Ovis aries: one gene and its partners. The protein of the gene in region 1 purifies or fractionates together with the protein of each later gene. This does not show direct contact. Links are inferred from orthologs where the notes say so. Each region holds a gene or a part of one and is shown in the gene's direction. Other genes may lie near its edges.

Evidence for each region. The genes of interacting proteins can lie anywhere in the genome.
Region 2: the proteins of CHEK1 (region 1) and HAX1 purify together in Homo sapiens (affinity purification with mass spectrometry; 3 studies listed by BioGRID and IntAct, with this or other methods). This does not show direct contact. The link is inferred for Ovis aries from reciprocal best matches to the Homo sapiens genes CHEK1 and HAX1.
Region 3: the proteins of CHEK1 (region 1) and CUL4A purify together in Homo sapiens (affinity purification with western blotting; 4 studies listed by BioGRID). This does not show direct contact. The link is inferred for Ovis aries from reciprocal best matches to the Homo sapiens genes CHEK1 and CUL4A.

Annotation. Positions count from the first base shown.
Region 1 is NC_056074.1:26,501,334-26,504,833, forward strand, and holds part of CHEK1 (serine/threonine-protein kinase Chk1), read left to right. Parts: intron 1-1,211; coding exon 1,212-1,276; intron 1,277-1,370; coding exon 1,371-1,440; intron 1,441-2,361; coding exon 2,362-2,550; intron 2,551-2,947; coding exon 2,948-3,052; intron 3,053-3,500. UniProt on the Homo sapiens protein: Serine/threonine-protein kinase which is required for checkpoint-mediated cell cycle arrest and activation of DNA repair in response to the presence of DNA damage or unreplicated DNA.
Region 2 is NC_056054.1:104,558,398-104,562,504, forward strand, and holds HAX1 (HCLS1-associated protein X-1), read left to right. Parts: upstream 1-1,307; 5' UTR 1,308-1,375; coding exon 1,376-1,428; intron 1,429-1,949; coding exon 1,950-2,254; intron 2,255-2,392; coding exon 2,393-2,580; intron 2,581-3,007; coding exon 3,008-3,059; intron 3,060-3,182; coding exon 3,183-3,289; intron 3,290-3,418; coding exon 3,419-3,509; intron 3,510-3,657; coding exon 3,658-3,743; 3' UTR 3,744-3,922; downstream 3,923-4,107. UniProt on the Homo sapiens protein: Recruits the Arp2/3 complex to the cell cortex and regulates reorganization of the cortical actin cytoskeleton via its interaction with KCNC3 and the Arp2/3 complex. Slows down the rate of inactivation of KCNC3 channels. Promotes GNA13-mediated cell migration.
Region 3 is NC_056063.1:85,882,324-85,886,417, forward strand, and holds the start of CUL4A (cullin-4A), read left to right. Parts: upstream 1-1,294; 5' UTR 1,295-1,695; coding exon 1,696-1,849; intron 1,850-2,310; coding exon 2,311-2,426; intron 2,427-4,094. Other genes in the region: PCID2 (PCI domain-containing protein 2), read right to left, coding at 1,156-1,191. UniProt on the Homo sapiens protein: Core component of multiple cullin-RING-based E3 ubiquitin-protein ligase complexes which mediate the ubiquitination of target proteins. As a scaffold protein may contribute to catalysis through positioning of the substrate and the ubiquitin-conjugating enzyme.

The DNA of each region.
Region 1 (3,500 bases):
TTTTTGTTTTTGCAACTTATGTCAACACTGAATGCATATGTAGAATCATCAAAGAAATTTTCCCCCAAGTTGTATAAGTGATTTTGGTTGGCATTTCTGTTTTGTAGAGTTTAAGAATGATAAGCTGTGGTTTCTTGGTGCGTGAAGTATCATAAGTGCAATGTATTGTATGCCTATGCAGTTTTAGACATTCTAGTCTCATGAAATTGTTGCATTCATTTATAGATCTGAAATAAGAGGTTATTATATAAGTGAAATAATTGAGAATTTTATAGGATTTATATATATATTAAGTACTATTTTTGCTGCTGCTGCTAAGTCACTTCAGTCGTGTCCAACTCTGTGTGACCCCATAGACGGCAGCCCACCAGGCTCCCCCTGTCCCTGGGATTCTCCAGGCAAAAACACTGGAGTGGGTTGCCATTTCCTTCTCCAATGCATGAAAGTGAAGTCGCTCAGTCGTGTCCGACTCTTAGCGACCCCATGGACTACAGCCTACCAGGCTCTTCCATCCATAGGATTTTCCAGGCAAGAGTACTGGAGTGGGGTGCCATTGCCTTCTCTATTTTTTGTTTTGCTACTTAAGATTAAAAGTCTTGATATTAAAGAATACTGAGAATTACATAAAATATTCTGTGGACTTAAATTTATTATTTAGATGTATTAATAGTTGAAAAGTGATTATTAGAATCTCCAAAAAGATGTATCTCAGAAAAGAATTGAGTATAAAAGAAATCAATTCATAGACATGCATGGCTTTGTGGTGTGAGAAATTATATGAAATTTAAATTTCTTGTATATTTAGGAAATCGGCTTAGATTTGCTAGGCTTCCACTTTGACAATTACATTTCAGGAGTAGAAAAAAATATTGGCATAGCATTTAGAAGAAATCAGGGGTGAATTTGAAGGATATAAATCATAAGTAGTATAAGTCGGGGCTTTCAAGGTATATCTTGCATTCTTGATTTGGGTTATATTTTGTTATTCTCTAATTTTCCTGTGATGTTAATTTATTTTTGCCACTTAACAGTTGGGGAAATGTGAGTTGTTAGCAATATATGTATTAGTGGACTCCAGAATAATTTCATTGTAAGCATTAGATTCTCTTTGCAAAAGTGCGATCATAGATGTTAAACTTTAGAATTAGGAAACTATGTGGTTGATGCCTGACTATATTTACCTGATAAACTAACTTTCACAATTCTTATAGAGCCAGACATAGGCATGCCTGAACAAGAGGCTCAGAGGTTCTTCCATCAACTTATGGCAGGGGTGGTAGGTACAGTGGTCTCTTTTCCTTTCATTTAAAATTAGTCTTAGTGAAATAAGTTACTCAGTTCTGGTATGCTTCCCTCTGCTTCTCTTTTAGGTTTATCTGCATGGTATTGGAATAACTCACAGGGATATTAAACCCGAAAATCTCCTATTGGATGAAAGGGGTAAGTTTAGCATTTTGTCACTGCTACCAAAATCATTTTAATACAAAGGCGGGATCAAGGCTTTTGCATTACTGAAACTTCAGGGCAGCTTCTTAATCTGCCACTCAGTTACGGTAAATATTCAGTAAGTATAGTTAAGGTGAAAGTTCTGCCTACAGTTTGTGTGTCTTAGAGGTGGGAAGTTAGAGAGGAAATTTGCTCTTCTTATTTGTTTTTGTGCAGAGTTCCTCCTCCTTTTATAAACATAGCCACCTTGATGAGAAGCTCTGGAGGTCTGTGGATCTTGAGTTTCTGTGTGTCTTTATATGCTTCCTTCCAGCCAGCTGGGTTTTTACATCTCTGAGAACGTTGTGCCTAGAGTATTATTGATACCTCGTGCCTCTGCATAGCCGGGTGAGGACATGGCTCTGCTCTCAGTGTTTAAGTGCTCCTTTCTAGAAGACCCTTTTGACTCCAGGATCTTCCTCTAACCTGGTCCATGCTGTTTGTATATTGACAGTATTTGTCTTAAGTTAATAGAAGCCGTGAGGCCTTTTTCTAGTTTTAGTTATATGATGATGTCTTTTATTTCTTCTTTATTACAATTTGTTTTTGATCACTTTAAGGTAGAGAAGTTCCACAAATCTAAAATAACACCAGCAGTTTTCCAGTAAACCTTGACTCCTTTAAGTATTTGTGTGTGTGCTCAGTGGCTCAGTCAGGTCTGACTCTTTGTGACTCCATGGACTGTAGCCTGCTAGGCTCTTCTGTCCATGGGGTTCTCCAGGCAAGAACACTGGAGTGGGTTGCCATTTCCTCCTCCAGGGATCTTCCCTGCTCAGGGACTGAACCCGAGTCTCGTGCATTGGCAGGTGTATTCTTTTGCCATTGCACCACCTGGGAATTTACATTCAGTGCCATCGGTTTTTTCCTTTGACTTAGATAACCTCAAAATCTCTGACTTTGGCTTGGCAACCGTGTTTCGGCATAATAATCGGGAGCGTTTGTTGAACAAGATGTGTGGTACTTTACCATACGTTGCTCCAGAACTTCTAAAGAGAAAAGAATTTCATGCAGAGCCAGTCGATATTTGGTCCTGTGGAATAGTACTTACTGCAATGTTGGCTGGAGGTAAGAGCTGTTCAATCATGATAAAATTCCTGTCCTTTGGAAAGCCATGTTTCCTGTACCAAAATAAATGAAATAAATCATGTGATAGTATGTTAATATTAACCTATTTATAACTAAGTTGGAACTTTTAATACCAAAGATTTAAAACAATGATTTATGTGTAGCTATTAAATGAAATATCATAGTAGCACTCTCTTAAAATTATGTGAACACTTTTCGAAATAGTAAGACAGAAGTGGATTATCTATCTTAGAAGTGTCTTTAAAATTTCTTAAACCATATTTAATTAATTTGAAGAAAACTTTTAATGGATTTGTGTCACTGATTATTTTCCCTTAAAATCATTACTGTAAAATGATTTGAACATTCAGAAAACCGAGTCTTGTTTCCTTTTTAGAATTACCATGGGACCAGCCTAGTGATAGTTGTCAGGAATATTGTGATTGGAAGGAAAAGAAAACATATCTCAACCCTTGGAAAAAAATTGATTCTGCTCCTCTAGGTAACTGGGTTATTTTGATATAAAGTACTGATTTCCTGGATAATGAAGCCTAGTGCTGTTTGAATGTTTTTCTTACCTATATTTTTCTCTTTAACTTTTAATTCATTATATAAATAATACATGATCTTTGTAGATAAATAGAAAAATAATAAATAAAATATTAAAAATCCAACCCTATAATTCTAGTACTCAGAAATAGCTTCCTTTAATATTTTGATATCTGCTTCTGTGTTTTGTAGTAGAAAATATGTAAGTATATATGTTTGTTATATATGTATATTATTTATAAGTATATTTGTTTTCACAAAAAAAATGACATCACACTATACATGTTATTTTGTAAACTTTGTGTGAGTGTGTGTGTTAATGCTAAGTGAACACTTTTTCATGATATACTTGTAAGTATTCATCACTATTTTTAAAAGCTGTGATGGTATTCTGCTATATG
Region 2 (4,107 bases), on another chromosome or scaffold:
GGTTTTTTTTTTTTTGTACTGTGTCCTCAAATTTAATGGATTAATGTGTCTTGTATATATAAAAAGAAAACCTCTACCTTCAGCCTCTGCCCATTCTTGCTCCGTCTAGGATGTCCTCAGTCTCGTCGATGACCAGCTTGGTGAATAAATATTACTGTACCAACTGGGCCTTCTCTAGCAGGCCCCGAAGGCGGTGGAATAAAAACGAAATCTTCGCCCTTTAAGAACTCCTCTGACCTTAATGTGCTGCCCTTGAGGGGATTCCCTCGCCCTCCCTCAAAAATTTCACAGTGGTGCCTGTAAAGAATCATTGCAAATGTTCATTTCCGTCATCTGTAGCAGATTGTAGGCAGTGAAGGGAGTGGGATAGCTGATACTGGGTGGAAAGGGAGAGGATTAACCAAGAACTGAAAGAAATCGCTTTGTATTGATAGAATCAAAGTTTAATTTAGATGGGTCCGTGCAAATGAACTGGAAAGAAATGAGTGCGAAATATGCACTGTTGGCTAGCAAAACTGAAGCAGTAGATCTTGCTGTTTGAGTGTTTTCATTTCACATAGCTAATATCCACACCCTTGAAGAGGAGGAGGCTGGAGCAAGGCCAGGTTTGGGAAGGAGGTGAGGGCACAGAGAGGGGGAGAGGCTTTGAAAGTCACTGATAGGCAAAAGGGGACACTTACACCTCCAAATTCTTCCTTCCCAAAACTTGACTAGATTTCCCTTGCGCTCTCACAAAGTTTATTCTGATGGTTGCAGAGCCTACGTTGGCAAACTACTTAATAGCTGGAGAGATGAAGTTAAATCCATGCATTCCTGTGTCTTTTACTCTGGGGATGTCATTATTAAAGTAGAAGGAGCTTGATACATTTTGTCCATTCCTCTAATACTAGACTTAAGTCAGGCGAGAAACAAACGATGAAAGAAGGGAGCGGGTGGGTTTAAGGCAGAACACTGGTCCGTGGGTGTGGTGAGTCTGCAATGAGGAAGGGTCTGGGTCCGGTTAATTTCTGTGGGTGGAGTGCCCTCTGGCGGCTGTCTCCAGTGCCATCAAGCGTCAAACCCTCGAAACCCTACTGGAGTGGGTTGGTCGGCCTAAAGAATTGGCTTAGAGGGCAAGTGTTCGTTGGGAAATAAAAACTCAGTACGCCCGCTCCCTTCACAGGAAGCAGGTGGGGGCAAAAGTGAAAGCCTTTAGAATTTGATAGGATCGCCCGCCCCGCCCCTCAGCGACGTCCGGCTTACGGTTGTTTTACGACAGTGTGCGATCGCATGCTTGCTTTCCGGCAGCGTGGTCTGACGCTTCGCTCAATTTCCGACAGCGTAGCTCTGGCTGCTACCCGCTGTGGGCTTCAAAGGTTCGAGTCCCACTACGGGAATGAGCCTTTTTGACCTCTTTCGGGGCTTTTTCGGCTTTTCTGGACCTCGGAGGTGAGAGCGGATTCCGGCCAGACACGGAGGGGCGGGAGTACTCGGAGGGGAGCTTGACCCTGGACACCCTATTTTTGGAAAAACATCCTTTTCTACCCTCCTAAAACTCCTGCGGGGAAAAAAAGGTCAACACTGAACACTCACCCCCCGACAGTAACCAGGGCGGTCGCTAAGAGAAGAAACAGCCGCTTAAGCTTTTCTCCAGTTTAGGGTGATGTAACAGGGGACCGGGTGGGGAAGACAATGGGCTCTGGAGTCGAGGACAAGTGAGCAAGACCTTGGGGGAGGGCAGGGGCTGGGAAACACTTAAGAAAAGCCGCAGGGAAGCGCTGGGGGCGGGGCGGGGTGGGGTGGGGCACCAGGTGAGGACTGACGTTGATGAAGCAAAACAAACCCGATGGCCAGTCCTCTACCCTCACTCCAGGCCCTCAGATCCCAACTCTTGTCCTACTCGTCGAGTCTTAGCTGATGCTATGGTTTAAGTGCTGAAATTTTGGTGGCTAATCTGCCTCCACCCCTAGCCACAGAGATCCCTTTTTTGGAGGAATGACTCGCGATGAAGACGAAGATGATGAGGAAGAGGAAGAAGAAGGAGTCACGTGGGGCCGTGGGAACTCGAGGTTTGAGGGTCCCCAGCCCCCTGAGGAATTTAGCTTTGGCTTCAGCTTCAGCCCGGGAGGAGGAATGCGTTTCCACGATAACTTCGGCTTTGATGACCTAGTACGGGATTTCAACAACATCTTCAGCGAGATGGGGGCCTGGACCTTGCCTTCCCGCCCTCCTGGTGTGTGGATGCTCCTGGGGAAGAACCTGTGGTTTCTACTGGGTCGGTGGGTGAAAAAAAAAGACTTGCAGAGAGTAGTTGGGGGTGTTGGGAAGTGTGAGAAAGCTGATGATTTCAAGGAGATTTAAAAGAGCCCAAGTCCTTTCCTACTCCCAGCATCCACCTGCCACCTTTCTGCAGAACTTCCAGGTCCTGAGTCAGAGACACCTGGTGAGAGACGGCAGGAAGGACAGACGCTTCGGGACTCAATGCTTAAGTATCCAGATAGTCACCAGCCCAAGATCTTTGGTGGGGGCTTGGAGAGTGATGCAAGATCTGAATCCCCCAAACCAGCACCAGACTGGGGCCCCCAGAGACCTTTTCATAGGGTGAGTACATCTGGGCCTGAAGTGGGAGCTGTGGAGAAGACTGCAAAGACTGGAAACCTTGCTGGAATCTAACAGACTTGGGTTGTATTTGTCTGTTTTCTATATTAAGCTTTGTGTAGGATTTTCTTTGGGAGGAAATGGGAGTTCTGCTTTTTGTTAAAAATTACTGTAGACGATGCTTGGAGAAAGCAGAAATGTTTGAAGGAGGACAGAAAAGTGTCAGTTCAGGAATGCTTTTTTGGTAGAGAAATACATGAATCAGGTAGGAAGGAGGGGGAGTGAGTAAAGAAAGCCATCCTGCTGGGATCATTTCTCCTGAAAAAAAAAAAAAAAAGTAGTTTTGGAACTTGGAAATAGGCTGGGTTCTGGGGCCCCTCAAACTTCAGATTGAAAGGTGTCATTTGACCTACTTTGGCTTCTTCTACAGTTCGATGATACGTGGCCTGTGACCCCCCACTCTAGAGCCAGAGAAGACAATGGTAAGTCTGGAGGGAGAGGACATTTACCAGCCCTTTGGTGTCCCTCCCTGAAATTTCTGTCTGCCACATTTGTCCCCTTCTTCGCTTTGGACTCTTTCTTGTTTCCTTTCTGTGCCCTTCTAGATCTTGATTCCCAGGTTTCTCAGGAGGGTCTTGGCCCAGTTCTGCAGCCCCAACCCAAAACCTATTTCAAGAGTGTCTCTGTGACCAAGATCACTAAGCCAGATGGGGTGAGTTGGGAGAGATGGGTAAAGGCAGCTGTGACCAGAGAATGTTCTGGAAAGGGGGACTATGTAAAGAAACAAGTGAACCCACCTTTAGTGATGTTAGGGATATGGTGGGGGGACTTCTTCTTGTAGACTATAGAGGAGCGCCGGACTGTGGTGGACAGCGAGGGCCGGAAAGAGACCACAGTAACCCATCAAGAGGCAGGCGGCAGTCCTAGAGATGGTAAGTGAAGAGTATAAATCAAAGGGATCCATCTCTTAGTTCCATGGGAAAGGGAAACTGTTGCTCTCCTACCATTAAACATTGCTGCCCTCCTTTGCCTCTTTCCAGTCTCCTTCATTTAGCCTGTGTGTATCACTCTTTCCCTTAGGTCCAGAATCACCAACACCTCCATCCTTGGATGATTCCTCTTCCATCCTGGATTTGTTCCTAGGACGTTGGTTCCGGTCCCGGTAGCCTTGTTAATTAATCACAGAGACCTTTAGATTCTTTCCACTTCCCACCCTTTGCTTGGTATTAATGGGCTTAGTTGTCTTCCTGCCACCTCAGGACCTTGGGTGTGTGGAACAGTGAATTGAAGGTCTGTCAGTGTGTCAGTCACCCAAACTGACCAATAAAACCTTTATTTATGCTAATTCTTTGGTCTTGGTTTTGTCGTGGCTATTCCACTTTCTCACAGTATCCAGGGCTTCCCAAATTAACTTGGCCCACAAAAGATTAGCTCTTTGCTTTACTTGCAAAACTGATTCTGATAAGTAAGGACCAGGTACCTTTAGGAAATGATTTTCCTTGTTAATAAATAACTAGTGATAGTTCCAGG
Region 3 (4,094 bases), on another chromosome or scaffold:
ATTTGCAAGCTTTAAGTTAAAACAAAAGCATGTATTTGTATTTTCATGATTCTCGTTTGAACCAGTTTTCTCAATGAACCATTAACCATTACGTTAATGGTTCCAAGCTTGTTATACTATATTCAGCTGCCAACTAGATATCTTTGCCTGGTTGTCAACAGACACCTCCAACACAACACGTCCAGAACAATTTATTTTTACTTCCAAATCGGTTCTGCTCATCTACTGTAAAGCTAGAAACCTGGGAATGAATCCTGATTCCTCCCGGAGCCGGAACCACACTAAGTCCTGGCAGTCTTCAGATATTTTTTAAAGGCCATGTGCCGCCCCTCCCTTTCCTTAATCCTGTCACCAGGGTTCTAGCCCTGCGAATGAGCACAGCCCAGAGGAAAGACTGTGTTCGTCGTTCAGCCGTGTCCCAGTTTTGGCGGCCCCATGGACTGTAGCCTGCCAGATCCCTCTGTCCATGAGATTCTCCAAGCAGGAATACTGGAGTGGGCTGCCATTCCCTTCTCCAGGTGATCTCCCCGAACCAGGGATCAAACCTGGGTCTCCTGCGTTGCAGGCGGACTCTTTACTGTCTGGGGCACCAGGGAGGCCCTTACAGTGTTTATGCCACGCTGTGCTTAGCCGCTCAGTCGTGTCTGAGTCTTTGGGACCCTATGGGCAGTAGCCAGCCAGGCTCCTCCGTCCATGGGATTCTCCAGGCCAGATACTGGAGTGGGCTGCCATGCCCTCCTCCAGGGGATCTTCCCCACACAGGGATCGAACCTGAGTCTCCTGCACCGCACGCGCATTCTTTACCGTCTGAGCTATCAGGGAAGCCCTGCTTCCAGCAAAGACTGTCGGCTTTCGATCCGTCGATGGCTGTGTTCGCGCTGTGCTCCTGCGTCTACAGGCTGTGTGGACACAGCCCCGAGAGACGCAAGCCCGCGGGGCGCGGCCCGCTCGCAGGCGGGCCCCGGCTCTCCGCGTCCCCAGCTCCCACCGCCCCTACCCCGAGGGCGCGGCCGGCCCCCGGGACCCACGTCGGGTCTGCCTGCCGCCCGGCGGCCGGCGGCGCGGGCGCAGCCGGCGAAAAGAGTCCCTCCGCGCGGCCACCCCTCCGCCCGGCCACCCCTCCGCCCGGCGCGGGCCGCAGACCGGGAACCCCACCTGCTGCAGGTACTGGTTGATGGTGATGTGCGCCATGGCCGCGCCCGCGCCGCCGCCGCGCGTCACTTCCGGGCCGCGGTCCGGCCCCGACCCCGCGCCCCCGGCCCCGCCTTCCGCGCGCGTTGGTTCCGGAGGCGGTGTGTGCGCCGCAGCGCGAGCCCCGGGCCGGCATGGCGGCGCGCCCGGGCTGAGGACCGCCGGGGGCTGCGCTGCGACTGCCCTCCCCGCTCGCGCGACCGCCCCCTCGGCGCCGCGGAGCCCGGGCCCGCCGCCCCCTCGGCGGCTGCGGGCTCCTCACGGGCTCCTCACGGGCCGGGCCGCGCGGGCTCCTCGCGGGCTCCTCGCGGGCTCCTCACGGGCTCCTCACGGGCCGCGCGGGCTCCTCGCGGGCTCCTCACGGGCTCCTCGCGGGCTCCTCACGGGCCGCGCCGGGGCGTTCGGTCGCGGGCCGGGCCGCGCGGGCAGAGCGCGCGAGCCGGGCGGCGGTTGGGCCGGGGAGGCGGCGGCGGGAGGCCGGGCCGGGCCGGGGCGGGCGCCGCCATGGCGGACGAGGGCCCCCGGAAGGGCAGCTTCTCGGCGCTCGTCGGGCACACGAACGGCCTCACCAAGCCCGCGTCCCTCGCCGCGGCCGCCGCCACCGCCAAGCCCGGCGGCGCCGGCGGCTCCAGGAAGCTCGTGATCAAGAACTTCCGAGGTGGGTGCGGGCCGGCCGGGCGGGCGCCGCGGGGCCCGAGCGCTGGGCGGGCGGCGCGGTCCCCCCTGCGGCGGCGCGGCCCCGGGCGGGCGCTCGGGCGGGCGGCCTCCCCGCCGGGGGCGGCTTCGGGCAGCTCGCAGCGCGGAGGGGAGGGTAACTCTTCCGCGGCCTCCCGCTTGGGAAGTCCGCTCGTTGAGTGAAAGAGCACTGAGATTTTTATGCCTTCCCCTCGCGCTCACAGCGACCGTCTTCGACGTGTTTGCTTAGTGAAACGAAGGCGGAACGGCTGCAGAGTCTGTAACCCGAGGGATTTATAAACATGGCACCTTGTACGGGGAAAACAATGGCCCGCGTTCCTTAGCTGTGTGTCTTTGAAGTACTTTTTTCGTAGAGTGGTTTTTTAAAGACGTGTGATTGTTGGCATGGGTGCCGTTACCTACTGACTGTGTCTGCACTTACAGACAGACCTAAATTGCCTGATAACTACACTCAGGACACCTGGCAGAAGCTTCATGAAGCGGTGAAAGCCATACAGAGTAGCACCTCCATCCGCTACAACCTGGAAGAGCTCTATCAGGTAAGCGTCCACAGGCGGCCAGGAGCAGAGCTCCATAGCAGGCTCGCTGAGATGGAAGCCTTCCCTTCCCTTAGGGTGCTGGCATCCTGCTTTCCGCTTACCTGACTTTTTTATAGTTGTCTAAATTGCACCGTAATCCAGCTCCGGTGAAACGTGACGCAGCCGTGGATTCTGTGGTCCCCAGTGTTGTTTCAGAGACAGTAGAAGAGGGAATAGAGTCCAAGTATCTGCCTCCACCAGAAACAGCAGGAGCTCTGTGGCATCCTGTCCCAAGTCAAGGACTGTTTTCTGGTTTTGGTGGTTGTGGGATTTTCATTTCATTTTCAGGCTTAAGCTGTTGAAAGGTACTTAAATTTAACCCATTTATAGGAGAGAAACGTGTTTCCAAGAGCCATAGGACATTTTCCAAATATGCAGCAGATTATCATCCATTATGTTGTGTGTGAAACTCTTACCTACGCTTTAGGCGATAGAATAGCATTTCTGTTAATATCTAGCTTCTCTATTAAGAGGCTTGAGTTCAAGTTTTTTTCTCTAGGAGGGTTTGGGGGAGGATGGGTACATGTATGTGTGTGGCTGAGTCCCTTTGCTGTTCACCTGAAAGTTCAGCAGCGTCATTAATTGGCTTTACCCCAGTGCAACATGAAAAGTTTACAGTTGGATACTTGTAAAAAATAAGCAAAACCTTTTCATGTTTACATGAGCAATTACATTATAAAAATTATGGAAACTGCAGAAAGTACATGGAAGGAAATGAAAATCCCTGATATTCCTATCACCCAAAGAAGACTGCTGTTGACAGTGAACATATGTGAACATATGTGCCTTCTTTGTCTTAAGTTTAAGTCTGTTGTGTGTTTTAACCACTTAATTAAGCTATGGAATGTGTCCTTGAGTAAGTTTTATCAGACGTGTCCACTTGCAGAACATTCTGTCACCACAGACAGTGCCCAGAGGCCCCTGTGCGGCCAGCCATCCCTCCTCACTCCCAGCCCTTGGCAATCACTGACTTGCTGTCTGTTGGTACATTCTGCCGTTTCTAGAACCTCATCTAAATGGAACCGTGCCTCTCGCGGTCTCTCGTACCTGGCTCCTTTCACTTAGGGTAACGCTTCTGCACTGCGTGTGGGCCTTCTGACAGTAACTGGTTTCTTTGTTGCCGAGTACTCTGGGCACCATGGTTGCTTATCGTGCGTTAATGGATGTCTGGGTTTCATAAGACATTTCATAGCTTTTCAAAGTGGTGTCATGATTTTTTGTCTCTGCCAGTGGCGTGTGGGAGACTCAGATGCTCCGTGTCTGTGCCAGTGTCTGGTAGCGTCAGTCTTTACCTTGTGCTGGTCTAGTTTGGTATGTGGTAGAATTTCACCTTGGTTCTAATCTGCAGCCCCCTGATGATAGTAAGTGTCTTTTCCTGTGCCCATCGCCGTTCCTGATGCCTGCTTTACTGAAGCGTGTGCTCGCGTCTTCTGCTCATCTCTTGTGGTCTTGCTTATCTTCTTACCGTCACGTGTTTGGGGCCATTATGTCTTCTGGGCACGTGTCTTATTCCAGAAATTTGCCTGGCGCTTGTGCTCTCCCAGTTTACAGCTTGCCTTTTGAGTCTGTTAACTATGGCTTTCGGAGAGCAAAAGTTTTGAATTCTGATGAAGTCTGTATCAGTTTGGT